Saccharomyces cerevisiae S288C: one gene and its partners. The gene in region 3 interacts genetically with the main gene of each other region. Each region holds a gene or a part of one and is shown on either strand. Other genes may lie near its edges. The genes, in order: TCA17, NEJ1, DIA1 and INM1.

The links.
Region 1: mutations in DIA1 (region 3) and TCA17 together harm fitness more than expected from each alone (negative genetic interaction), as found in Saccharomyces cerevisiae (one large-scale study listed by BioGRID).
Region 2: mutations in DIA1 (region 3) and NEJ1 together harm fitness more than expected from each alone (negative genetic interaction), as found in Saccharomyces cerevisiae (one large-scale study listed by BioGRID).
Region 4: mutations in DIA1 (region 3) and INM1 together harm fitness more than expected from each alone (negative genetic interaction), as found in Saccharomyces cerevisiae (one large-scale study listed by BioGRID).

What each region holds. Positions count from the first base shown.
Region 1 is NC_001137.3:63,161-69,448, reverse strand, and holds TCA17 (Tca17p), read left to right. Parts: upstream 1-4,281; coding exon 4,282-4,740; downstream 4,741-6,288. Other genes in the region: threonine aldolase GLY1, read left to right, coding at 657-1,820; FRD1 (fumarate reductase), read left to right, coding at 2,652-4,064; seripauperin PAU2, read right to left, coding at 5,359-5,721. UniProt on the Saccharomyces cerevisiae protein: Required, together with the TRAPP II subunit TRS33, for TRAPP II complex assembly or stability, and for proper Golgi localization of TRAPP and the Rab GTPase YPT31.
Region 2 is NC_001144.5:673,445-678,232, reverse strand, and holds NEJ1 (Nej1p), read left to right. Parts: upstream 1-2,777; coding exon 2,778-3,806; downstream 3,807-4,788. Other genes in the region: BOP2 (Bop2p), read right to left, coding at 1-21; PDR8 (Pdr8p), read left to right, coding at 509-2,614; YLR264C-A (uncharacterized protein), read left to right, coding at 4,289-4,405. UniProt on the Saccharomyces cerevisiae protein: Involved in non-homologous end joining (NHEJ). Facilitates the transport of LIF1 into the nucleus, where it can interact with DNA ligase DNL4 to repair double-strand breaks (DSB). Mediates mating-type regulation of NHEJ.
Region 3 is NC_001145.3:899,880-908,324, forward strand, and holds DIA1 (Dia1p), read left to right. Parts: upstream 1-4,945; coding exon 4,946-5,956; downstream 5,957-8,445. Other genes in the region: TGL3 (bifunctional triglyceride lipase/lysophosphatidylethanolamine acyltransferase), read right to left, coding at 1-1,428; PRE5 (proteasome core particle subunit alpha 6), read left to right, coding at 1,830-2,534; YMR315W (uncharacterized protein), read left to right, coding at 2,921-3,970; YMR315W-A (uncharacterized protein), read left to right, coding at 4,407-4,514; YMR316C-A (uncharacterized protein), read right to left, coding at 5,783-6,094; YMR317W (uncharacterized protein), read left to right, coding at 7,485-8,445. UniProt on the Saccharomyces cerevisiae protein: Involved in regulation of invasive growth.
Region 4 is NC_001140.6:196,705-205,098, reverse strand, and holds INM1 (inositol monophosphate 1-phosphatase INM1), read left to right. Parts: upstream 1-6,813; coding exon 6,814-7,701; downstream 7,702-8,394. Other genes in the region: YHK8 (Yhk8p), read right to left, coding at 1-492; AAP1 (arginine/alanine aminopeptidase), read left to right, coding at 3,789-6,359; DDE1 (Dde1p), read right to left, coding at 7,866-8,394. UniProt on the Saccharomyces cerevisiae protein: Responsible for the provision of inositol required for synthesis of phosphatidylinositol and polyphosphoinositides.

The DNA of each region.
Region 1 (6,288 bases), on a different chromosome or scaffold from region 3:
CCTTCGCACAGAGAGCCACACGGCACGCCGGGGTAGCTGTTTCCTATTTTTTTTACACACGGCCCCAAATTGTTATTACTATTCTTTTTTTCTTCAACGCAACCAATACTTCTTGTTGTATATGTGCTGACAAATCATGCCAGCGGCAGGCCTGTGCAGCACGTGACCCACGCTTGGCCCGCTATGAAATGTCACGCGAAACGGACCCTTGCCTTTTTGGCGACGGCACTTCCCCTATCTGGAAAAAGCCGAGCATGCACCCGTACCCCACAAAGCTTCGCTTCCGGTTTCCGGGCAGCAGCGCCGTTTCTTTTTTCCCGCTGCTTCGCCCTTTGTATTACTCATTGCGCACTTTTTCACTTGCCATATTCGTTCACCGGTTTTTCTTTTTATTTCTTCGTCTTTTTTCGTCTTTTTCTTCACTGGATATACGCTTTTTGCATTTGCAATAGCACATATGTGTATATATATAAGCAAGTGTTGAGCTTGCCTGTCAAATCCTCCATGTGTCCTTCTCGTCTATCTTGTTCTGTCTGGTATAGAGTAATACTTACATACATATACGTACATTGTTTCCGCTGGCTAGTTCGTAACCACCTCCTTTCCTAGGCTTACACTCACTTTTACTCCCGCACACAAACGCAAACATAAACACAATGACTGAATTCGAATTGCCTCCAAAATATATCACCGCTGCTAACGACTTGCGGTCAGACACATTCACCACTCCAACTGCAGAGATGATGGAGGCCGCTTTAGAGGCCTCTATCGGTGACGCTGTCTACGGTGAAGATGTTGACACCGTTAGGCTCGAACAGACCGTTGCCCGCATGGCTGGCAAAGAAGCAGGTTTGTTCTGTGTCTCTGGGACTTTGTCCAACCAGATTGCCATCAGAACTCACTTGATGCAACCTCCATACTCTATTCTATGTGATTACAGGGCTCACGTTTACACTCACGAAGCCGCTGGACTGGCGATCTTGTCTCAAGCGATGGTGGTTCCTGTGGTTCCTTCCAACGGTGACTACTTGACCTTGGAAGACATCAAGTCACACTACGTCCCAGACGACGGTGATATTCACGGTGCCCCCACCAGATTGATTTCTCTGGAAAACACTTTACACGGTATTGTTTATCCATTGGAAGAACTGGTCCGCATCAAAGCTTGGTGTATGGAAAATGGTCTCAAACTACATTGTGACGGTGCCAGAATCTGGAATGCCGCTGCACAATCTGGCGTGCCATTAAAGCAATATGGGGAAATCTTCGACTCCATCTCCATCTGTCTATCCAAGTCTATGGGTGCTCCTATTGGGTCCGTCTTGGTTGGGAACCTTAAGTTTGTCAAGAAGGCCACCCATTTCAGAAAACAACAAGGTGGTGGTATTAGACAATCTGGTATGATGGCTAGAATGGCTCTTGTAAACATCAACAACGATTGGAAGTCCCAATTGCTGTACTCGCACTCTTTGGCTCATGAATTAGCCGAATATTGTGAGGCAAAGGGCATCCCGCTAGAGTCTCCAGCAGACACCAACTTTGTCTTTATTAACCTGAAGGCCGCTAGAATGGACCCAGATGTCCTTGTTAAGAAGGGTTTGAAGTACAACGTTAAGCTAATGGGTGGTAGAGTCTCGTTCCACTATCAAGTCACCAGAGATACTTTGGAAAAAGTCAAATTGGCCATCTCCGAGGCCTTCGACTATGCTAAAGAACATCCTTTCGACTGTAACGGACCTACCCAGATTTACCGTAGTGAATCCACCGAGGTCGACGTTGATGGCAACGCTATCCGCGAAATAAAAACCTACAAATACTGATGCGTTCCAGTTGCATCATGTGTATTGTTAGGGTTTTTGTTTTAGGATTGCTACCCTCTTCCTTTTTTTCATACATTACAATAATTTCGTGGCATTGTAGATTTAACGGCTTTCTTTTGCATCAATGATTTTTATATTCAAATGGGTTTTTTCTTTTTTCTGTTTTGTTATTCAAGGATATTTCAACTCTCACACCATAATTATAACTAATTATGTCGGCACATTTGAGAACCAATGGTTAGTTTCCAGCGCACCTAGCGACTAACTACCCTATTATGGAGGGACGAAGGTGGTCTTTCTGAGGGAAGGAGGAAAAAAAGGTAAGAACCTCTTTTCTTTGTTCCCCATTGAGAGATCGACTGAATATGTTTGGTTTTTTTGGTACTTGATTAAAGTTTACAACGGTACGTATCCACGTGGAGAAGCACATTTCTTTGTATTCTACGATACTACGTATTAAGATTGAATGTACCCATGTATATTCTCGCAGGGTTTCTTCACAGGATTTCGACGTACACCTTTTATACAAATATATATATATATTTATATGTATGCGTAAGAGTCTAAAAAACGTTCACTTTAATTCCTTTTTTGCTTTTACTACTATTGTCTTTCTTCTTTCATTTGTCATCATGCAGTGAATGACTGAAACAATAGAGACAGGTATGAAAAAGAAAATTTTTTTCTTTTCAAACGGTAACGGGGGCAACGCGTCGCGTTCCTGAACAGCTTAATCTATTGCACGTATAAAAGCTGAGAACAATACGCTGACATAGCACCCCATTTTTTTTTCTTATCTTCACTTCAACAACCCCTCATCCGTAATTGTAAATGTCTCTCTCTCCCGTTGTTGTTATTGGAACCGGTTTGGCCGGGCTGGCTGCTGCCAATGAATTGGTTAACAAGTATAACATCCCTGTAACCATCCTCGAAAAGGCTTCCTCGATCGGTGGGAACTCTATCAAGGCCTCCAGTGGTATTAACGGTGCTTGCACCGAGACTCAACGTCACTTCCACATCGAGGACTCCCCACGCTTATTTGAAGATGACACCATCAAGTCTGCTAAAGGTAAAGGTGTCCAAGAATTAATGGCTAAGTTGGCCAATGATTCTCCCCTGGCTATTGAATGGTTGAAAAACGAATTTGATTTGAAATTGGACCTATTGGCTCAATTGGGTGGCCACTCTGTGGCAAGAACTCACAGATCGTCTGGGAAGTTGCCTCCAGGTTTCGAAATTGTTTCTGCCTTATCTAACAATTTGAAGAAATTAGCTGAGACTAAACCAGAGTTAGTTAAGATTAACTTAGACAGTAAAGTCGTAGACATCCATGAAAAGGATGGCTCCATTTCTGCTGTAGTGTACGAGGACAAGAATGGCGAAAAGCACATGGTGAGTGCTAACGATGTCGTTTTTTGTTCTGGAGGGTTTGGCTTTTCTAAGGAAATGCTTAAAGAATACGCACCCGAACTGGTGAACTTGCCAACAACAAACGGGCAACAAACAACTGGTGATGGTCAAAGGCTTCTGCAGAAGTTAGGCGCTGATCTGATTGACATGGACCAAATTCAAGTTCATCCAACTGGGTTCATTGATCCAAATGACCGTAGCTCAAGCTGGAAATTCTTGGCTGCCGAATCCTTAAGAGGTCTTGGTGGTATCCTATTAAACCCTATTACCGGTAGAAGATTTGTCAACGAATTGACCACAAGAGATGTAGTCACTGCAGCTATTCAAAAGGTTTGTCCTCAAGAGGATAACAGAGCACTATTGGTTATGGGCGAAAAAATGTACACAGATTTGAAGAATAATTTAGATTTTTACATGTTCAAGAAACTTGTACAGAAATTGACATTATCTCAAGTTGTTTCTGAATATAATTTACCAATCACTGTCGCCCAATTATGCGAGGAATTGCAAACATACTCTTCCTTCACTACCAAGGCTGATCCGTTGGGACGTACCGTTATTCTCAACGAATTTGGCTCTGACGTTACTCCAGAAACTGTGGTTTTTATTGGTGAAGTAACACCGGTTGTCCATTTCACCATGGGTGGTGCTAGAATCAATGTCAAGGCTCAAGTCATTGGCAAGAACGACGAAAGGCTACTAAAAGGCCTGTACGCGGCCGGTGAAGTTTCTGGCGGTGTTCATGGCGCCAATAGGTTGGGTGGTTCAAGTTTGTTAGAATGCGTTGTCTTTGGGAGAACCGCAGCTGAATCTATTGCCAATGACCGCAAGTAACGAATTTTATAAATGAATCATTTCTAAACGATTTTTTAATAGTATATAAGTAGTATTAATATTATTATTATTTTTTTTTTTTTTTTTTTTTCACTTTCGAAGTTCTGCCGGAAGAGCTCATCGACGGCCAAGAAACATTTTACATAAAAGTTATTGAGTTGAAAATTGAGTAAATATTCTCTCCAAAAATCAAATTGTACGTTTATATCACCAAACTATGAGCTTGAGGCCTTGCTTCGTATCATTGATAGATGAATCTGATAAACCTATATTGATTTACGTCCCTAATGAGGCGGAGAATGAGATGAATGATGTACTCAAATATAACGTGCTTTCTAACATATCGTTAGATTATTTTGAAAGTGCTTTGGTTGAATGGCATTCTTTAGATTCCAAACCTCTTCTGAAGTCAATTTTTCAATTGGAAGGTGTCTCTGTATTTGCTATGTTGATTAAGCAGACGGGCCTGAAGATTGTCATTGGATTTGAACAAAAAAGCCTAAGTGGAGCTGATGATGAATTTGAAGCAATCAATCAGATTTTCGAAACCGTAAGAAAAATCTATATACGTGTCAAATGTAATCCTTTACTTGTTAGCGGTGACGAAAAGTCCATTATAAAAAGCTTGGAAAGAAAATTTGATGAGTTGTTTATTTCAACTGAAGTTGAATTATAAATGATAATTTATTAGTCGATTCTTTCACGAATGAAAGCAAAATTTAATGTCACTGCTTTGGAGTGAGAGCGATTCAGAGAAGTTATTAATGTCTAATATGTCCAACTTGGTGACAGTTTCGCCTTGCCTAATTAGCGGGGATCAGGTGCCGGTAGTATATCTCAGATGACCGTGACAATCAAACTTTCTACTTCATTCAAGTGACTGTCAATTGTCATGCTGTTCATGAATAAATAAGATACGGAGACAATTAAGGCGATCGCTTTGACTCTACTGCTAACGAAAATTGTCCGAATTGAACAGATGTGGAAGCAATCACTATACGTTACTTCATAATGAAGATATTTGTTGGCTTTCCGAGATATAGACTGATCTTTGTCACTTCATATCCGGCACGGCAATTTTTACATGGGATGGCTCGTCATAAAGATACTGCGACCTTTGGAAAGTCTGAAATAAGTGCTAGGTTATGGTTACAACGAGAATTGACAGATATGATGTGATTGTTCACGTATGTACGTATAAAGATATTTATACTACCAAAAAAAAAAAAAGGGTTTTTTTTTATTTCATTATCTAAGTTTCATAGCATTTCCTTCATTAAATTGGCGTTTGTCTCTAGTTTGCGATAGTGTAGATACCGTCCTTGGATAGAGCACTGGAAATGGCTGGCTTTAATCTGCTGGAGTACCATGGAACACCGGTGATCATTCTGGTCACTTGGTCTGGGGCAATACCAGTCAACATGGTGGTGAAGTCACCGTAGTTGAAAACGGCCTCAGCAACTTCAATTGGGTAGGTTTCAGTTGGGTGAGCAGCTTGGAAAGAGTAGTATTGAGCCAAATGAGCTCTGATATCAGATACGTAGACACCCAATTCAACCAAGTTGACTCTTTCGTCAGATTGAGCTAGAGTGGTGGTTGCGGAAGCAGTAGCAGCGATGGCGGCAACACCAGCGGCAATTGAAGTTAATTTGACCATTTTATTTGTTTTGTTTGTGCTGATATAAGCTTAACTAGGAAGAGAAGAGTGGAGGCATATACCAAAGAGAGGTAACCAAAGCAGTTCAATTTATATGAATTTCTCGGCCAGCTTCTCTTACATGAACGAGGGGCCACCTTTCACCTCATGAACATTATTGTTATTGCTATTGTTATTGAGATGCCTTTACTCATGAACGATCCATTTTTGGAGGTCTCGTATAAGAGGGCGCGGTTTTGAGTTAATGATACTCATTCGTATATTCAGAATGCAAGAATGTGCTTACAGTGGAGACTAGTTGAACCTTTTTTGAGTCCCTGAAATATTTCCAGTCTGCTAGCTCAGCAGTTGAGTCGAAGTAATATGATATGAGTGTTCGTTCAGAAACCACTGTTCAAGCGTTGACCTTAAACGGGATATCGGAGCTTGGCCTTTTTTTCCCAAATTAGAAACATGCGTAATGTCGATTAATTTTGAATTAGCGTCGTCTGGTACTATATGGGTGATCAAGAGTTGTCTACTATGTGAATCAAACGAATAAGGGATAATAATCAGTAGGACGAAGCA
Region 2 (4,788 bases), on a different chromosome or scaffold from region 3:
ATACGTTAAAGCGGCAACCATCCTTTTCACTTCTACCCGGAGAATATATAACTTTCGAAATCACAGCCTATATATTGCACAAATTTCACGTAGAGCTCTAGCTGTGAAGATAGAATCATCAACTTTAAATTTGCTTAAATCTATTTATACAAGAAATGATCAACTGAATAAAATAACGAGCGGCTGAAAATTAAGGGTTCTTTCGTGTGTGGAGTTACAGTCCGTTGCAACGCCTTTCCAACATGCACACAAAACCAACAGTGGCTTATTCGCCAGAGGGTACAACAATGACTCAGAAATCATGAAGAGGCATTAACAGCGGTCAGCAGTGGAGCAATAACAACAGGGTCATTACTTCTTTACTACTTGTACTTAGAATACATCACGACAAGGTGCAATGCGGCGCCTTTCCGCGTTGACAAACTCTTGAAAAGCCCATGACAGGTGGAAAACACGTGGTTGGTACGGGACGAATAAGAAAGAGGCAAACGGCACTTAGTTTGTTGGGATGGATGGATCCCATTTTCCTATGAAATCTACTACCGGAGAGCCCGTTTCAAGTGGTAAGAAGGGCAAGAGGAGGAAGGTCATCAAGTCATGTGCATTTTGTAGAAAAAGAAAACTGAAATGCAGTCAGGCCAGGCCTATGTGTCAGCAATGTGTAATTAGAAAACTACCGCAATGCGTTTACACAGAAGAGTTCAACTATCCCTTGTCTAATACGGAACTGTTCGAGCAAGTGCCCAATGTAGCGTTGGTTCAGAAGATTGAGAATTTGCAGACTCTACTGAAGGAAAACGATAACAATAATGCGAAACCGGTGTATTGCAGGAGTTCAGAAAATCCATTACGGTCACTGAGAACTTCGGTTTTAGGTGATAATGGCTCGAGGTATGTGTTTGGCCCCACTTCCTGGAAAACTTTATCTTTGTTTGAACAAAATAAGTTTCAAACTGAGTTTCAAAATTTATGGAAAGTCTTGAAACCACTTCCTGAATGCACTAAATCGCAATTAAATGAAAATGATGTTGTAGCAGATTTGCCTAGTTTTCCTCAAATGGAAAGCTGTATTAAATCTTTTTTTGCTGGACCGCTGTTCGGCATATTGCATATCTTCAACCAAGACGATATTCTGTCCCTCTTGGACAGACTTTTTATTAGAGATACCACGGACAAGAACCTAGTCATCCTCCTCGATTTGCAAGGTAATGCAAAAGATAAGTATAATCTTGGCATTGTACTTCAAATTCTTTGCTTGGGCTATTATAACCAAGATATCCCTTCTTCCGTGAGTCATTTCCTTCACACTTTAAGTGCAGCGTCCTTGTCATCATCGAGCTCAAATTTCGTGGAAAAACTACAATTTTTCTTATTGTCCTATATTAGTGTAATGATAAATTGCACGGACGGTGTATGGGATGCGACTCAAGGCGTTGACTTAATCAACGAGCTATGCCAGGGGTGCATAAGTTTGGGTTTAAATGATATTGATAAATGGTATTTGAACGAAAGTGAGGAAACCAAACAAAACTTGAGGTGTATTTGGTTTTGGGCTTTATTCCTTGATGTATCCACCTCATATGATATAGGTAATCCTCCGTCTATTTCAGATGATCTTTTGGACTTAAGTATATTTACTGCGCAGAATTTCCAATCACCGAGTATTGACTTTAGGAGAGTTAAGCTAATGCACGATTTTTTAGATGTTTCCCGATTCACTACTCGTGAAATTCACAAGAGAGAGATGAACGAAAAATTGACCACTTTTTCATTGAGATTGATTGAATTTATACAATCTAACTTTTCACCTATCGAACATTATACAAATTCAGTTTACTACTCTGATATTGATCCCTTTGATATATTGATTTTATCAAGATCTCTAAGTATAGTTGCTAGTATATACAATATTGAGATGATCATCGCTCAACAAAGCAGAATCATAGATAAGAACAGAATGGTTCAGTTCTTGTTGATATCCATATCAGTCTGTGTTAATACAATGGTATTTCATTTTAAAGAGCCTATCAACGACCAGGAGAACGTGTTAACTGAAGGGCTAAAACTGTCTATTATTCTAATCAATCCACTTTTAATACGAATAGTATCGCAAGTGTACAGTTTAGCATTTAATAGGTTAATCTTCAGGGAGAAGGCATTCCTTTTCCTTATTGACCTTGACACTGGGAAAAAAATACAATTCATTAAATATGAAGAAGAAAACTTTGATGAACTTTTGACAGGATTCGATGTTAGGACTGATAAATTTCTGTCATTTTCAGGAACAATAATAAGATTTTACGAAATTATTGATAGCATATTTGCTGTTAATGAAAGAAATAAGCGATTGTTAAAAGCAGTTTCCAATTTTTATCAGTTAACTTCAACTTTGGCGTTTGAACGCGTAAGTAGGGTTTTATTCGATAAAGCGTCCCAAGCAAGAATAGAGACTGAAAAAATTTGGCTGAAAAAGGGCATTAATATGGAGCACTTCAGTGATCTCATGATTGAAGATTTTATTAATGATGTTTGGAAAACGTTCAAAGAGATTTCCAAAGACCTTTGGTCCATTGACAAAAAGAAATTTTATAAACAATATCATTTCGATTTATAAATGTATTTATGATTGATGTATTTTTTTACATGGATTTTTTCGTCCCAAAAAGGGATGATAGTGTTGGCAGCGGGCAAACACAAAATAGTGTCATATAAGTGGAAACCCTATGGAGAATAACCATAACAACGGCCAGATAGGAGGTTAATCTTACACATGTGTGATGGATTCTGAGTTGAAAGGGCAGCAGCTAAGTGATGCAGAATGGTGTGTTAAAAAAATTAATGGTGAGGGAAATTGTCTCCTATTATTTCTACCGATGTCATCTCCAACCACAATTGTAATGATTGTTTTAGTTTCCTTGGAGCGCTTAGTTCCCTACGTTTTCAAACTTTCACAAACTCAATTATCACAGCAATGCCAGAGCCAAGGTTTTACGGATAGTATATCATTAAATCTAATTAAACTAAAACTAATGGACATTCTACAAGCTCCTCAAGAAATTAACCAAATTGGATTGGTAGATTCAAATTTGGTTTTTAGTTTCGATGTATCTGCGGATATTACAGTTTCCATAAATAGCGTACCTTCACATGTTACTAAGGATATGTTCTATATGATTTTGCAAAGTTTATGCATGCTTTTATTAAAATTGGTAAACCTTTCCACCCAATACCACTATGTACAACGGGATATTTTGAATGAAAAGCAAAAATGCTTAGATTTTCTTTTAATTTCTCTTCGTGATTTAGACGGTGGGAGTAAAGTTATCAGTCAATGGGCTCCTGAAAATTCTAAGAATTATGAATCTCTGCAGCAATGCACAGACGATGACATAATCAAAAAATTACTACATAAAGGAAAATTCCAGCATCAAGAATTTCTGGCGGACTCATTAAAAACATTATTATCTTTAAGAAACAAATTTCAAGATGTGTCGCGGTTTGAAGAATCTGGAGAACTTAACAAAAAAGAGCGCGTCAGATTTCCTGCGGTGAATCATTTTTATAATGATGATTTTGAATTGCAAGCAGACCCTACAAATGAGGCTCGACCAAATAGCCGCGGTAAAATTAAACCAAAGACAGATTTCAAGCCAAAATCTAGAGAAAGTAGTACCAGTTCGCAACTTCGCCTGGAGAATTTTTCTGAATCTGAGGCTACACCAGAAAAAACAAAATCAAGTTCTTCTTTGGTCGAAGAATACCCACAGAAAAAAAGAAAATTTGGAAAGGTGAGAATAAAAAACTAAGGCAAGTCAATTAAACGTCAAAAATTAAGGTTGGACCTTTCAAATAGTTCTATTCCTTTGTTGACGCATTGATAATGTTAATTTATTGAATGGTAACGTTATGCCATTGATAGGGAGCATATAAGTTTATATGTATTAGGACAGTTCTAATTGTTTATTATTAATCTAACGGTAGTTTCAAGCAGTATCTTACATCACTGCAGCTTCTGAGTGTCTAAATGATAAACTGCATAAAAAATAGCCGCGCAAGCTCGCCATCACTGTAAATGAAATTTAGACGCAAAACATAACCGCGGATGTAAACTTACTTAATAAGAGCGATTGGCAAAAGAGCCACAAAAAAAAATTGGATCAATATCTGGTGCATGGGTCTAAAAAAATTAAGCAAAACCACAACACCACGCGTTATGACAGCAGTTTTAGAGACTGTTTCTTTCTCTTCTATTGTATGAAGTAATCAGATTATTATATTGAGTAAGTACATGAATGTAATATTTAAATTGTATTTAACGATAGATGCACCAAAAAAAAAGAAAGTTACAGTAAGAGACTTCTTGTCGATTCGTTATTCCATGCCATACAGGTTAGCCTCAAATTAATTAATTCTTAAAATTCAGTAAACATTCTGGAATCCAAAAAAGTAACAAGTTCGTCGAATATCTCATCAATTATAGTGAGTTGTACACTCAACCCACCTCCAAAAAACCACAAAAATTAAGTGACTTCAATCATTTAATTCATTTTTTGAAAAATTGACATCATTGAGTATTTCTACGCATTTGTTCTCTGTTTTTGGCAACCGAAAATCCCTTGTAAAGAATCCATTAAAATTAATAAAGGAGATGTATGAATTCACCGAATGGAAAAACCGACCAAAGCACAAACACCTACTGTCTTCTATCCCTCCTTTCGATTGTTTAGATGAGCTTACCAACGTTTATATTATTTGCAATCGATTTCATCACTAAACTCAATTAAAATA
Region 3 (8,445 bases):
GGATCTCTGTGTTTTTCTTACTGTATTCGCGTTTATAGGAGGCATATTTGGATAATGCTTATAATAGTAATATTTTGACGTTTTTATTTCATGCTTCAAATCATTTACCACCAATGGTGCCAAGTATGGTCTCGCCAAAGAAACAATGAAGTTATTAACATTGAATAGTTCCGTTAACCTAGTATAGGGGCTCTCCGTTATGCTCGGATTGTTGGCATTTTCTGGGGTAAGAAATTTGACTTGTTTATTTTTATTGATGTTAAGAAAAGGCTCAATTTCATTTTCTAAATTTTTACATAATAGTGATGTATCCTCTGAAATTACACCAGAACCAAGTGAGCATTCAATGGCTGACTTGATTAATACGTTTGGGGTTGTCACATAATTTAGTAAATTAGGGCATGATTTATCAGTTGGATGAATAACAATATTGAAAACTTTTCCAGTAATTTGATAAACTTCTTCAAAAGTTTTTTCCTTAACAATATATTTCATAACAAACCGGATAAAAAGATAAACGTCTTGAGAATAACCGTGGTGTATTAGGTTCTGAATCAAAGTCCCCAGGTTTAGGTGCTGCTCTAAATTACCGTATCCACAGCTTTTTAATAAATCTACATCATTCTTGATGATATTCAAGAGGTTGTCATCGGTCAATAATTGCTTTAGTTGCTCATTGGACAAGCAACCGAATAAACTTGCAACGCATGCCCCCATAGAGCTACCACTTATAATATTAGGCATCAGGTCCTGTAACAATAAACCTCTAATCACCCCAAGGTGAAACAGCCCAAACAATGAACCACCTTGCAAGATTAATGCTGTTGTGCCCAGTGACAACTTACATCTTTGGAAAAAGGATGTTGGAGTTAAAGTTTGATTATTTAATATATCCAAGCCTTCTAGAATTCGGGTCAAATATTGTTCAATAAGTAGCTTTGTACCCATCAAAGATTTTGTGAACAACTTTTTATCTCCAATACCCGCAAAGTTCCTCAACATACAAGGGCCTGTAGTCGAAAACTTCTCCTTAACTACATCATACTTCTCCTCCCTTAACATATTTTCCAATATGCTATATTGTTCAATGACAGAATTGAAGTCGTACCTCCTCGAAAAGAAATTCCGCCGCCATAAATTTGCGCCTGTTATTTCATCCACTACGGACGCTTGCTGACACCACATTTGATACGTATCACACTCATCTAACTTCTTAATAGCGTTATAATAAATGACTCTTGAGTGTGGCCGCACATAGTTAATCAGCTTTTGAACCCAGAAGAAATAAATATCGGTGATGACATGTAGAATTTCCCACACAAAAGGAGGTATATGGTCCAATGTGGCATACACTACACGCAGTATCCAGTTTTTCAAAAGGGTCGGTATTACAGCAGACACCTTGTATTCCTGCGCCGTTTCCTTCATGCTTAACGGCAACTCAAAGATGTGATATATGAATAGATGATTCCCTTACTATTGTGTCATAGTACTTCTCTATGTAATCAGTACTAATTTCTATTAGCTGCTACCCAGAAAAAAAAAAACATAAGAAAAAAAGGGTTAGGGTTGAATTTTCAGACCTAGGATAAGTATCTCCGAAATTACTAAAAACCTAGTATTTATTAAAATGCCCTACTAAAAAAGTAAAAATGACCTATAAAGAACATACCCTATTATAGAGTGGCAAAATTAAAAATTCAAAAGTATCGTCAAAGTATGGAAAAGAACCAAGACGCCACTACATTTAGGTAGACGTGGTGATCAATTGAAGTTCAAGAGAAGTGGGTAAGAATACATTGAACTAAGCCTTCATATATTTACAAAACATGTTCAGGAACAATTACGACGGGGACACAGTCACTTTTTCTCCTACAGGCCGTCTGTTCCAAGTGGAATACGCCTTGGAAGCTATTAAACAAGGGAGCGTCACTGTGGGGTTACGTTCGAACACTCATGCTGTTTTAGTAGCGTTGAAAAGAAATGCAGACGAATTGTCATCATACCAGAAAAAAATCATCAAATGTGACGAGCACATGGGGCTCTCGTTAGCCGGGTTGGCTCCAGATGCTAGAGTTTTAAGTAATTATTTGAGACAACAGTGTAATTACTCCAGCTTAGTTTTTAACAGAAAGCTTGCCGTCGAGAGAGCAGGTCATTTGCTTTGCGATAAAGCACAGAAAAATACACAATCCTATGGGGGCAGACCCTACGGTGTTGGTTTGTTGATCATCGGGTATGACAAGAGCGGTGCTCATCTTTTAGAATTCCAACCTTCCGGAAATGTCACAGAACTATATGGTACAGCTATTGGCGCAAGAAGCCAAGGGGCAAAGACTTATCTAGAGAGAACTTTAGACACGTTTATAAAAATTGACGGGAACCCGGATGAACTAATCAAAGCTGGCGTCGAGGCTATCAGCCAGTCTCTAAGGGACGAATCCTTGACTGTAGACAATCTTTCAATCGCCATCGTGGGTAAGGATACGCCTTTTACAATTTACGATGGAGAAGCTGTTGCTAAATACATCTAGGTCTGGACACAAAGTATCGTTTCCACTAAGCAATTGTCAAAGCAAGACCAAAGAAGCCTTTCACCACGGTCGGGGTTTTTTTACATATAAAGATAATAATAGATTAACTTAGTACGTAGTCTCACTTCTCATTCAAAATTAAAAAAGACGTGGCTTCCAAATCAACTAATAACCCCGCTTAATTCCGCCCTCCGCCGGGGAATAAACGGAGTTATCCCCTGTTGAAAATTCAGCATGATTATGTATCACAATACATAGGTGTTCGTCTATAAAAAGAACTACTTATTCTGGATAAACTTTCGAACTCGCTCAAACCTATTTGTTTCTGTACATCGAATAGACCCATAATCACTTCTTGGTTCCAAAAAGTAAAGTAATAGCCAAAAATGTCCCCATTGAACGTCGGTATAGTTGGTACAGGTATTTTTGCCAGAGATAGACATCTCCCATCCTACCAGGAATTTCCTGACAAATTCAAAGTCATTGCCGCCTTCAACAGACATAAGGCAAAAGCTTTGGATTTTGCAAAGGTTGCTGACATACCTGAAAATAAGGTTTACGACAATCTAGATGAAATTTTGAATGACCCTCATGTCGACTACATTGACGCTTTGCTACCTGCTCAATTTAATGCTGATATTGTCGAGAAGGCAGTTAAAGCAGGTAAGCCAGTTATTTTGGAAAAACCAATTGCGGCCAACTTAGACCAAGCAAAGGAGATTGTCAAGATAGCAGAATCCACCCCATTGCCCGTTGGTGTGGCTGAAAATTGGTTATATTTACCATGTATTAAAATCGCAAAGGAGCAGATCGAGAAAATTGGTCCTGTAGTAGCATTCACCCACAATTCTACCGGTCCATTTGTTACTCAAAATAAATATTTGACCACAACCTGGAGACAAAAACCAGAGCACATTGGCGGATTTCTATCTGATGGTGGTGTCCACCAATTAGCTCTCGTTATTTCCCTACTCGGTGAATTTGGATCTGTTTCTGCATTAACGAGACAGGTGCGTGAACGTTCCGGTGCAGATGATATTGTCTTTGCTACTGTCCAGTTGAAAAATAAAGAGGTTATCGGAAGTTTTACTTATGGGTCTGCCTTTGGTGCTACCGAAAAGTCGGTTTTCTTGAAAGTCTATGGTAAGAATGGTACCGTTACCGTTGACTTATCAGACAAAAAAGACCCCGTTGTAAAAGTCAAATTAGGGGGTTCAGCTGAAGATAACGGTGACGAACAAATTTTTAAAGTCGATAATGATGAAAGTTTCGGCGTCAACGCTGAATTTTTGAATTTTCACGAAGCTGTCAGCAAGAAGGACAAATCCTTATACCTAGGCACACCCAGAACTGCATTTCACCATTTGGCTTGTGTGGACGCGTTTTTAAAATCTTCTGCCAAGAATGGTGACTACGTTAAAATTGAGCAGCCATGATTACCGTTTTACGATGTAACGCTTTTTTAACCTTAATAGATAGATTCCCTCATATATTTATAACTATGTACCCACATAAGTATACTTTTGGAATGATAATACTAACGAGATAAAAAACCGTTGAAAAATTTCTAAGTTTTCTTGAACTAAAAATAGCCAAAATTCTCCATCCACTTGTTGTTGCAAAATGTTACGAAGGCGAGGTTCTTGGAAATCTGGATGATTATGGGAAAATTCGTTCAACAAGAACGCCGAGCCTGGACGAAATACTTAGTCGGCATGGAACTAGTTATGAATGACTTTTCCTATATAAGATCTACAACCGTTTCCAATTCACCATGAGATATATATATGTTTAACGAATCAGGTACTCGTCCGAAGCATTTCGAGTAATGCAACCCCACAAGTGTCCCCCAAGAATTCACTGGGATTTTTGATGACCGAAAGAAAGCTATTGCAGCTGCTACGGCGTCCTTTCATCTCCCTTTCTTTATTCACGGCCTTAAGAGCTTGTCCGCTTCGCCCCAAAAGCCTAATTGCTTAGAGCATGAGAGTTGAAAACGACCAGAAGTGTCGTTTTAGGTAAGCATTCGGCCATAATGAACAGTAAGTTTGTCCGAAAAATACACCGCTAGGGTTCGATAACGAAGAGCGCATATCAATTGCGTTGTCGACTTAATTGCTCTCTTAGTACAACGGTATGTGTCAGTGATAAAATCCTACCGGTTCCACTTTTTGTGAGCGATAGATGACGGAACGTATGCGCCTATTTCTTTTTTTTGGCGCAGCAAGGGACAATGGTCCCTTTTTGAGAAAATGTTGTAGGCTTGGCCATCGGCGTGAACGCATATAAAAAGAAGACTGCCAACATGACAGTATTTGAAACAACTACAGATTTGGCAAAGTTCGCCAAGATAAAGAAGACCGAAGCAGGTGCTAAGCTTCCATTAAAAGTTTTTCAAGAAAAATCTGATTATGGGTTCAATAAGTAGATACCTTCTTAAGAAAGCAGCAGATGGGCTTAAAGATGAGCAGAGATTGAAGATTGAAATGTCCGATAGCAAAAGTGTCCCAGAGTGCTTTCATTTTAATAGGGAAAGAAGAATGCCCATAGCCGAGATAAACGGCGAGGATGGGTTTTTCATGTTTCCGTCTCAGCAATCGCTTGAAAATTTTGAAAACACTAAAAAGTATTCGAATGAGCTGAGTCCAGATGCAATTGGTATTCCATTATTCCAAATTATCAATTGCACTCTACCGTTTGGTAAAAGAGGTCATAGCAATACTGTGGTCGGCAATGTCCCATATTATAAAATTTTCAAATTTATTTTAAGAACGGCAGACGAACCTCCGCCTTATACTGTGGCAAAAATCGTTTGCTCAAACAACGGATTAATATTGTATAAAGTGCCTCTTTACGACATATATAAAAATGTCAGCCAAGCAAACGTAACTTACAGCTTCGTAGGGACTACGTCTACGGAGCCCAACTTACTAGCAATGGCTCACCGAGAAGGACACAGGGATTTGGACACTAAAGTGAATAATTTAAATCTCAGGTGGCATGTCACTTATTCGCCCGTAGTTACCAACGATCATTATAAATTAATTCTGTTAGCAGATTATGAAGTGAATCGTTTGGATGAAGATGTCATTAGAGCCGCTAAAAATAAGATGTCCATCGACCAAAAGGATCAAAAAGTTCAGAGGTTCGTGGCAGCTCATTATACTAGAGAATTTGAAACATCTCTTTTTAGGTGGGTCGCTCAAGAGGGCCACTTAATTCTTGGCGAGTATTCCACAGATCAAGGATCATTTGGATTGAATAATATCCCACCATTGACGGAAGAACTCGGGTGTCAGAGCCTGCTCATACATTACATAGAGTACATGAAGAGACAACGTAAAAAAATTGCGAAAGAGGCAAGGAGACAAAATAAAAGAAACGTTGCAAACACGACTAACATGAACATGAACCTCATGTAACAAAAGTTTGCGTATAATAAACCAGTATAGATGTGTAACTGTAATTTTTAACTTATCACAAGCTCGTTCCCTTCCTGCGTTGAAAAAGCGGGACAATGCCAGAATATAAAAAAAAGAAGAAACTTTAAACCCTGTCATATCTTGTCCGAGATCTCGTCGTTCTTGTTTAATTGATCTTCTTCGTATACTGCCAAAGGTGCCAAGGCACAAAAAAGTTTAAAGTGGCACGGGCTATTGCGTCACATAAAGCCCGTAGCGCAAAAAAGTGATAGCTGACTTCATTAGATCACCAAAATGGAAAAAACTTCGTGAAGATTTCTTTTTATCTTCCTCACAGTTTTTAACTTCCGGGTGTTATACTCTCCGTTTGAAAAGTTGATTTTGTTAACTTTCCTCTTTCCTTTTGGAGTAAAAACAATATCCTCGATAGGCAAGACCTTCCTGCACCGCTATGGCGGCCATTTTGATTTTTCTTTACTGTGGGAAGCAAGAACTTGTTCAGGCGCCTTCCTGGATAAGCCATCTTTTTTCAAACAGTTTCTTCTATACGATAGGAAAGTCGTTGGCCAATCGATTAATTAATTGAACAATAGGAGCCAAATAAGCAGGATATCTTCTTTCGTATACCGCCTGCCTCATTATTCAGAACAAACACGAGTGATCTGACACTATGAAGTTAGCAGTAATCCTTTCTAAGAGAGGTGGCCCAAAATTCGAATAAAATTAACTTTCCTTACCATTTAGCCTCTATCAAAAAGGTTCTAAAAAGTAATATCACACAGCCGAGCCTAGGACGTCACCTCTTTCCTACACAGTTGACATTACTTATGTACTCAAAAGGACGTATGTACCAAGGAAAGCATAGTTTTTATTCAAATCGAGTTTTTTATTCTTATATCCTGCTTAAAAGTGGTGATTAATGAGGAAAAAATGACAGCAAGAATGAAATAGTATGTAATTTCTTTAGATTTAGCGGTGCCCGTGCCTTCCACGCGCAACTGTTCTCTCTAATTTACTATTCGCTTTGAACGTAAAATGTGCTTTAGTTTCCCAGATGTAGCTCAAGTATTATACCATCTTTTGCACCTACTTTACTAAATTCATCTCAGGTATAATTGTATCGCATATTCTATTTTTTTTGACATTTAATGCAAAATTGTGTACCTTTCGTTAAGGCGAATTTTCTGGACCATGCGCAGATCTGATCCAAAATAAACTTTTTTTCATGAAGCTCGTTTGCGATCATTGCCTGTGAATTTAGCGAAGGTGTCAGTCCACGGCGACTTAGAACTCACGTAAAAATAAGCATCTTGCTAAGACTGTTCAGCAGTCAACAGTAAAGTTCTGAAAACATGTTTTCTTAGTCTCTATCTTTGCCCATGTTCCTCTCAAGTGGAACAAAGCTAAAAATGAAATATTAATTTTATATAAAGTCTCACTCACACCTGTGGTAATTTTGTTCCCTCAGATTTGTCAATGATTCTGTCATAGAAAAGGTATCCACAAGAAAGGGTAGCGCCGTATCAAAATGGGTTCATCTGGTTCAAAATCGACCACAGCCACTACCACATCGCATAGTAGCACGACTACTACTAGTAGCACAACCAGTACAACTACGCCTACTACCACTAGCACGACAAGCACGACAAGCACTAAAGTTACAACTAGCCCAGAAATTATTGTCAGTAGTTCTAGCACATTAGTTTCTTCTGTTGTACCCGAGTTTACTTCTAGCTCGTCGCTCTCCTCTGATACAATTGCCTCAATTCTATCATCGGAGTCATTGGTTTCCATTTTTTCTTCTCTTTCTTACACATCATCCGATATTTCTAGTACATCAGTCAACGATGTCGAATCATCAACCTCTGGCCCCTCAAACTCATACAGTGCGCTTTCCTCCACAAATGCACAACTGTCCAGCTCCACTACAGAGACTGACTCCATAAGTAGTAGTGCTATTCAAACATCTTCCCCGCAAACCAGTTCATCAAATGGAGGTGGTTCCTCTTCGGAGCCATTGGGAAAGTCCTCTGTCCTTGAAACTACTGCTTCATCTTCTGATACAACTGCAGTCACATCCTCCACATTTACCACGCTTACTGACGTTTCATCTTCTCCAAAGATAAGTTCCTCAGGATCGGCTGTCACTTCAGTTGGTACTACTTCCGATGCCTCAAAGGAAGTTTTTAGTTCAAGCACGTCCGATGTTTCTTCCCTACTATCAAGTACTTCCAGCCCCGCAAGCTCTACTATTTCTGAAACCCTACCATTTTCCTCTACAATTTTATCCATCACTTCCAGCCCAGTAAGTTCAGAAGCTCCATCGGCAACGTCTAGCGTAATTAGTTCAGAAGCTTCATGGGCAACGTCTAGCTCAGTGAGCTCGGAAGCTCCATTGGCAACGTCTAGCGTAGTGAGTTCAGAAGCTCCATCGTCAACGTCTAGCGTAGTGAGTTCAGAAGCTCCATCGTCAACATCTAGCTCAGTGA
Region 4 (8,394 bases), on a different chromosome or scaffold from region 3:
ACCCGTAATGGTCTTGGACCAAATGGTCAAACACTGCCATATGATACTGAGCGTAAGGGCGTATAAAAATGTGATCCTTCGTCCATATAGTTCACTTAGTGGAGACAGAAATAAAGGTCCTATACCGAGCCCAAACACATAAAGCGTAATTCCCAGAGTGCTGACTTCGTGCGAAATATGAAAGTGTTCGATTATGTGCGTTGAAGGAAGCGTCCAGCTGGACGAGATCATCGTAATTACCATCGATGTGAATGTAATTAACGAGGAAATATAATACCGGCGGGCGGTGCTCATATGCCGTGCTATATCTTCTGGGTCCGCGATGTCCTCGTTGAAGGTCACTTCATGCGATTGTTTGCCGTCATTTTTTCGTTCACTGGTCAATTCCAGATCCAGTTTTGCGGCTTTGTCTGAGTTTATTGAACAATGCTCTTCTTCAGTAGATGTCAATGCCGATGACTGTGCACTCGCTATTTGAAATTCTGCAACCATATCCTGTTGTTATATCTGCATATATATGTTCTTAGTATACAAGGTGATACCATACACCAAATGTAAGGCAAATATGCCTTTATATAGGGTCCAGGTGAACGTAACGCATCTAATAACAAGTGTTATTGCTTGACCTAATAATCTGAGATGGTCGCTTCACCGGTAGAAAAATTCTCTGCGTATTACTAATCTCAACAATAGCCAACACTAAATCCGTAGGACCGGCGAAAAGCGTGCTAATCTCCGCTTTATTGCCGGATCCGAAAGGTGTTTCTGGCATCAAGATGTTATAAATCACGGAATTAAGAGAAGGATATTAAATGTGCCATTGCATTTTATTGATATTTCCACTCACCCAGAGGGATAATAATGATCAAAACAGATATACAATTCAGCTCCACTTTTACCTGCGCAACATGACATTTCCAGAACTAGCTTACAATTCGTACACCGGTTATAATTGGTTTATGGTTTCCAATGTAGGACCAATTTTTAGAGATAAATACTGAAGCAAATATTGGATTTCTTCTGTGTTTCACACGAAGAATATGAGTGAACCATTATTCCGGCTTTTGTTTCCTACAGCAAGATGTAAGTTATCTGGTTTGCTTATTACTTAGAAAAAGGGCTCCTGCTGGTGGAGGTAAATTAGATTATGCACCTATCGGCGGGTTAGCGTTGGGCCGTAGCCTTTTGGTCGCTTGCATTTACCACGTATTTTTTCCTTTCAATTTATTATAAGCTTAGAGATACGATTTCAAGGCGCAGCTCTTCTGTTAGCAGTTTTCTCTACGACTTTGTATGAGGTTCATCTCATTTTGTTAGCTTCTATTCACATACCTACTATAACACTAATCCTGCTATGGTTCAGACCCAAATATCTTCAACCCCTGCCATAGGAACTGTAAAAAATAGATTGTAATTCAAAGTACCTTCAGAAAAAAAAAGTTATATACGGCGCATACTACACAGTACGCAATGTGTCACTTGGTACCGCTGTTCTTATGTTCGTTTAAACAAGATCTCGAGGTTTGAGTCAATGTACGAGATTTTGAAACCATGAGGGATGTGCCCTCAAACTTTATGATCTGGTTTCTTTTTTTATTTATATCGTTTTTATGCTGGGTTACGTTGTTGTTTTATATTCCTTGTCTAGTATTACGGTCAGCAGAGGCCAAATCCTATATGCATTATATGTGGTTAGCATTGACTCCTTAATAGAACGGCCAGTTATCAATCAAATTGCCTATAAGCATGGATCACTAGCGGCTAGTATTGTATTGCATTTGGAATAGCCCTCTTCGTTGAGCCACAAAGATATCTTGCGGAAATGTGGCTAAAGCAACTTTTGATGATTGCTGGGAAACGGTTTGGTAAACTGCTGAAGCAATTGTTGTACACAATACTTCTGCTTTTGGCCCCATCTGGATTTTTCATTTCCGCTTTTGCCTCAGGTGCAACAATAACTATCTTTGAGCATCGTACCACCAATACAAAAGGATATGATCGTTATCATACAGAATTTTTCATGGATTTTGCATGTTTCGGTATAACTTTACGTAGGTGAATTATTGAAGGGCTTTGTGATAGGTGTGGATGTACCTGCCGTGCGTTGATGACCTTCAACTGATCGGAACAAATTGCTATTACATGTAAAAATCTCATGTATGAGCGAATCTTTTTGTGTTATAGGCAATCACCTAGAAAAGCTTGGAAATTGGTCCTGAGTTTTTTGTTGATGGTAAGTGCATTTTTTTAGTATGAAAGGTTTACGATATTAGCTGCTAAGTTCTCCCTTGCCCTAGTGAATTACGTTTTTTTCGATTAAAAGGGTTGGTCCCGAAATTGACCTCTTATATGTACCTCAATTGCAGATAGCATCAAATTTAGACTACGTCATCAACCAAATTACACCCTATGAAAAACATAAGATTATAAGCATGCGTTTGTGTAAAGGTCATACCATTTTATACGTTGACGCAATGGTGCAAATAGAAAGGTTTACGAAAGCTCTTATTCCGCTTAGCGCAATTCTATTGTTAATTTCAAGTAAAAAGATAAATATCTCACGTCCTTATATTATCTTTGATTAAAATTTCACGATCAATGTAACGAAAAAAGGTCGCAAATATTTCTTTTTCATCACTCTGATTAAACAATGGCATCATGAAACGCTCATTGGATCGTTACACGTTCTCATTGTACATATGTATGATTTAGAACAGCTTGTTCGCCTGATCTCCACCTTATACCCTCATCTTACCGCAGTGCGGTTTTACGCCTCATGTTATTTTTGCCAGCTTTAATAACAACATCAGTAATATTACGTTATTGGATCTTCCACTCCGGTTCGAGGAAAAAAAGAGAGGAGGAGAAACGCATAAGCTACAATAATGAGTGAGTTAACGCTTTAATTTGCTCAGTGATCATTGCTAGCCGGATATTTGTGTTTTTGTAGAACCCAGCCATACCTAATCATCTCAGTATATTATCTGAATTCTTGACTCAAAATATGGATTTTCTCGAACGTCTCACTTCCAATCATCCCATCAAATGCTGTGGATGAAAACATTTAAAACACGGGCAAGAAAAAATGAGTATAGTATAGTTGTGGCCAGTTCTTGTTGTACTAATGCACTTGCTTTCGTATCAAAGTTGAAGAAGCACTGAAAGAACAACAAAAAATTTATTAAAAGCAAAAATCATTCTACGTTCAACGAAAATGTAAGGCAAATATATCTTTATATAGGCAAGCATAACCGACGCTAACTTTGTTCGAGCTTCATCAACGTTATTAATATCGTAGTTATTCCGCTTTGTCTCAATAAGCTTTTGCTTACTTGAGAAAAAGAACGAAGTTTCTGTTTGAGATTTTCCTTCTCATTTTCTTTGAAATTTAAAGGAGAAATATTCAGCTCTATACATTCTTTGTTCGAGTATGTTACACATCACCTTACAATGGGAACATCCTATGATGACATACTTCTTCTCGATGATTTATTTTTTTTCTCAGCAAACGCTGTTTTCTAGGCGGTGAAAAACGGGAGTCTTCATCCCACATTTTTTGAACTCGTTGTGAAAGTTTTTTTTCGTACTCTTGGACTTGGCTGTGGGAGTTTGACACATTTTTTTATTTTTTTTCCGTTTTTTTCCCTTTTGTTAGCGATCAAACTTTTGACTTTATGAGTAATCTTAGCTAATCATTTAGAATTATCTTCAGGGAAGCTTATTCAATTCGTGATTTTTCTTTGAGGGTTCCTGTTCAAGCAAGCCAAATTGCCCTCTCAGCTAATACCATGTCCCGTGAAGTACTGCCAAACAACGTTACCCCATTGCATTATGACATTACACTAGAACCTAATTTCCGTGCTTTTACGTTTGAAGGGTCATTAAAAATTGACCTGCAGATTAATGATCATTCGATAAACTCTGTGCAAATAAATTACTTAGAAATAGATTTCCATTCTGCACGTATTGAGGGTGTCAATGCCATTGAAGTTAACAAAAACGAAAACCAACAAAAAGCTACTCTTGTCTTTCCTAATGGAACTTTTGAAAACCTAGGACCTTCTGCGAAGTTAGAAATTATCTTTTCCGGTATTCTAAATGATCAGATGGCGGGATTTTACAGGGCTAAGTATACGGATAAAGTCACAGGGGAGACGAAGTACATGGCTACTACTCAGATGGAAGCCACAGATGCTAGAAGAGCCTTTCCTTGTTTTGACGAACCAAATTTGAAGGCGACTTTTGCAGTAACTTTGGTCTCTGAATCGTTTCTGACTCATTTGTCCAACATGGATGTCAGGAATGAAACAATCAAAGAGGGTAAGAAATATACAACTTTTAACACGACTCCAAAGATGTCTACGTACTTAGTAGCATTTATTGTAGCTGACCTGAGATACGTGGAAAGCAATAATTTCCGTATTCCAGTAAGAGTTTATTCTACCCCAGGGGACGAAAAATTTGGTCAGTTTGCAGCCAATTTAGCTGCTAGGACCTTGAGATTCTTTGAGGACACCTTCAACATAGAATATCCATTGCCAAAGATGGATATGGTGGCAGTTCATGAGTTTTCTGCTGGTGCTATGGAAAACTGGGGGCTAGTGACTTATAGAGTTATTGATTTGTTATTAGACATAGAAAATTCGAGTTTAGATCGCATTCAAAGAGTTGCTGAGGTTATTCAGCATGAACTAGCCCACCAATGGTTCGGCAACTTGGTCACCATGGATTGGTGGGAAGGCTTATGGTTGAATGAAGGTTTTGCCACTTGGATGTCTTGGTACTCTTGCAACAAGTTTCAACCAGAATGGAAAGTTTGGGAGCAATATGTTACTGACAATTTACAACGTGCTCTAAATTTAGATTCATTAAGATCTTCCCATCCAATTGAAGTTCCCGTTAATAATGCGGACGAAATCAATCAAATTTTTGATGCTATTTCTTATTCTAAAGGATCTTCTTTATTGAGGATGATTTCCAAATGGTTGGGTGAAGAGACTTTTATTAAAGGTGTGTCCCAATACCTGAATAAATTCAAATACGGTAATGCAAAGACCGGAGATTTGTGGGACGCCTTAGCAGATGCCTCTGGCAAGGACGTTTGTTCGGTGATGAACATCTGGACAAAACGTGTTGGTTTTCCAGTGTTATCTGTCAAGGAACACAAGAACAAAATCACATTAACTCAACACCGTTATTTAAGTACCGGTGATGTTAAAGAAGAGGAAGATACAACCATATACCCCATTTTGTTAGCTTTGAAAGACAGTACAGGTATCGATAACACATTGGTATTGAACGAAAAATCTGCTACTTTCGAATTAAAGAATGAAGAGTTCTTCAAGATTAATGGTGACCAATCTGGTATTTTCATTACCTCTTATTCTGACGAAAGATGGGCTAAGCTATCCAAACAGGCAAATTTATTATCCGTAGAGGATCGTGTTGGCTTAGTCGCAGATGCAAAAGCCCTTTCTGCATCTGGCTATACCTCTACTACTAACTTCTTGAATTTAATTTCTAATTGGAAAAACGAGGATTCATTTGTTGTTTGGGAACAAATCATTAATAGTTTATCCGCTCTGAAATCTACTTGGGTCTTCGAACCAGAGGATATATTGAATGCTCTAGATAAATTTACTTTGGATCTAGTACTTAACAAACTTTCTGAATTGGGGTGGAATATTGGCGAAGACGACTCCTTTGCTATCCAACGTTTAAAAGTGACCCTTTTCAGTGCCGCATGCACTTCTGGCAATGAAAAAATGCAATCGATTGCGGTAGAAATGTTTGAGGAATACGCCAATGGGAACAAACAGGCCATACCTGCACTGTTCAAGGCAGTTGTTTTCAACACCGTTGCCAGACTTGGCGGAGAAAACAATTACGAAAAGATTTTCAACATCTATCAAAACCCTGTTTCGTCAGAAGAAAAGATTATCGCTTTGAGAGCTTTGGGCAGATTTGAAGACAAAGAACTTTTAGAAAGGACATTGTCTTATCTGCTAGATGGTACAGTTTTGAATCAAGATTTTTACATCCCAATGCAAGGCATTAGAGTTCATAAGAAGGGTATTGAAAGGTTATGGGCTTGGATGCAAGAACACTGGGACGAAATTGCTAAGAGATTACAGCCAGGCTCGCCTGTGTTGGGTGGCGTGTTGACATTGGGTTTAACTAATTTTACCTCTTTTGAAGCCCTTGAAAAAATTAGTGCGTTCTATAGTAGAAAGGTCACTAAAGGTTTTGATCAAACCCTGGCTCAAGCCTTAGACACTATTAGATCCAAGGCGCAATGGGTGAGCAGAGATCGTGAAATCGTTGCTACCTACTTGCGTGAGCATGAGTATGATCAATAGCTTTTTTTTTTCACGAGCACCTACAACACAAATATATACATATGCCAATGAGTCAAAACCACGTGTAATTAATAAAGAGATTACTACTTGCTTATGTAGAAATATAGTAGCTAGCAGAAAATGAATCTGATAACATCTTCATTGACACATTTCCAAGTATAGAGAACTTTCTTCTGCTTCCTTTCGGAAGAACTGAGTGAATATTGACTGGCGTGCGTCATAGCGAGATTTTTTCATCTGATGATGTATGGAAAAAAAAAAAAAACTTTTTTTTGAATAATGGATGCATCGAGTGACTTTCATTGTTGCGCACGTTGCTTTTCCAAAAATGGTATTAATATAGGTCTTTTATCTCTTACTTCACATTTAACTGCTTGTTAAATAACCCCAGTGTTTTCTTTTTTTTGGATGAATAAGGAAATCAACAGCTGGTACACGCATATACACATATACCATGACCATTGATCTAGCTTCTATCGAGAAATTCCTCTGTGAACTGGCTACTGAAAAAGTAGGACCAATCATCAAATCCAAGTCCGGCACTCAAAAGGATTATGACTTGAAGACTGGCTCCAGGAGCGTTGATATTGTAACTGCTATCGATAAACAGGTCGAAAAGTTAATTTGGGAATCGGTAAAAACCCAATATCCAACTTTCAAGTTTATTGGAGAGGAAAGTTATGTGAAAGGGGAGACCGTGATTACTGATGATCCTACCTTTATTATTGATCCAATTGATGGGACTACAAACTTTGTTCATGATTTCCCATTTAGCTGTACCTCTCTTGGGCTCACAGTAAACAAAGAGCCCGTAGTAGGCGTTATATATAATCCTCACATTAATCTTCTGGTATCCGCTTCTAAAGGAAATGGGATGAGAGTTAACAACAAGGACTATGACTATAAATCAAAATTGGAATCTATGGGTTCTCTAATACTAAATAAATCCGTAGTGGCATTACAGCCAGGTTCCGCTAGAGAGGGAAAGAATTTTCAGACAAAAATGGCCACATATGAAAAATTACTATCATGTGATTACGGTTTTGTTCATGGATTCAGAAATTTAGGATCATCTGCAATGACAATGGCATATATTGCTATGGGGTACCTTGATAGTTATTGGGATGGTGGTTGCTATTCGTGGGACGTGTGTGCTGGATGGTGTATTTTGAAAGAAGTGGGCGGTCGTGTAGTAGGTGCCAATCCAGGTGAATGGAGTATTGATGTCGACAATAGGACATATTTGGCTGTGAGGGGAACAATTAATAACGAAAGTGACGAACAAACAAAATATATCACAGACTTTTGGAACTGTGTTGATGGCCATTTGAAATATGACTGATCGTCAGCACATTAGGCCTAATATAAAATGTACGATTAAAATGACAGTTATTTGAATCATTTTAGCTGATCACAGGGATATAGAAGGTATTGGTAGTAATAATAATAATGATAATAATAATAATGATAATAATAAATAATAAATAATAAAGCGATAGATAATGCTCATTGATTATAGATGTATAAGCAACCGTCTTGGCCAAATAGTCCAAAAACGCCAACTAGAGGCATCCATCCTTCACCTCCTCCAAACCTTTCAGCTAAATGCAAAGCTTTCTCTAAACGATCGGACTCTACTGGTTTACCTATGCTAAAACCACGAATACATAACATACCCTGCTTCTTCTCTATGTTCAAATGAGGGTTTGTTTCCGTTTCTACCATTTTTCCTTCTAATGTTGTACTTAGTGTTCCATAACATACAACGTTATCGTCCACAGATTTTCCAAAAACCCTATAGTCATAAAAATTGGTATGTGCCACAGGTCCCATGATAGCGTAGGGACAATATAACTCGAGGACTACACGGGATCCTAATTGAGCTCTTATTTTATTCAATTGTTCAGTGCTTGGGGTGATTCTTCGGTTAGTCTTTTTTAGCTGAGGAATTTTTTCAGGAAATGTCGAAATAACCTCAGCATCTTTCACATTATCTGCCAAATAAACACATCTTAATTTTTCAAGAGAATGTGGC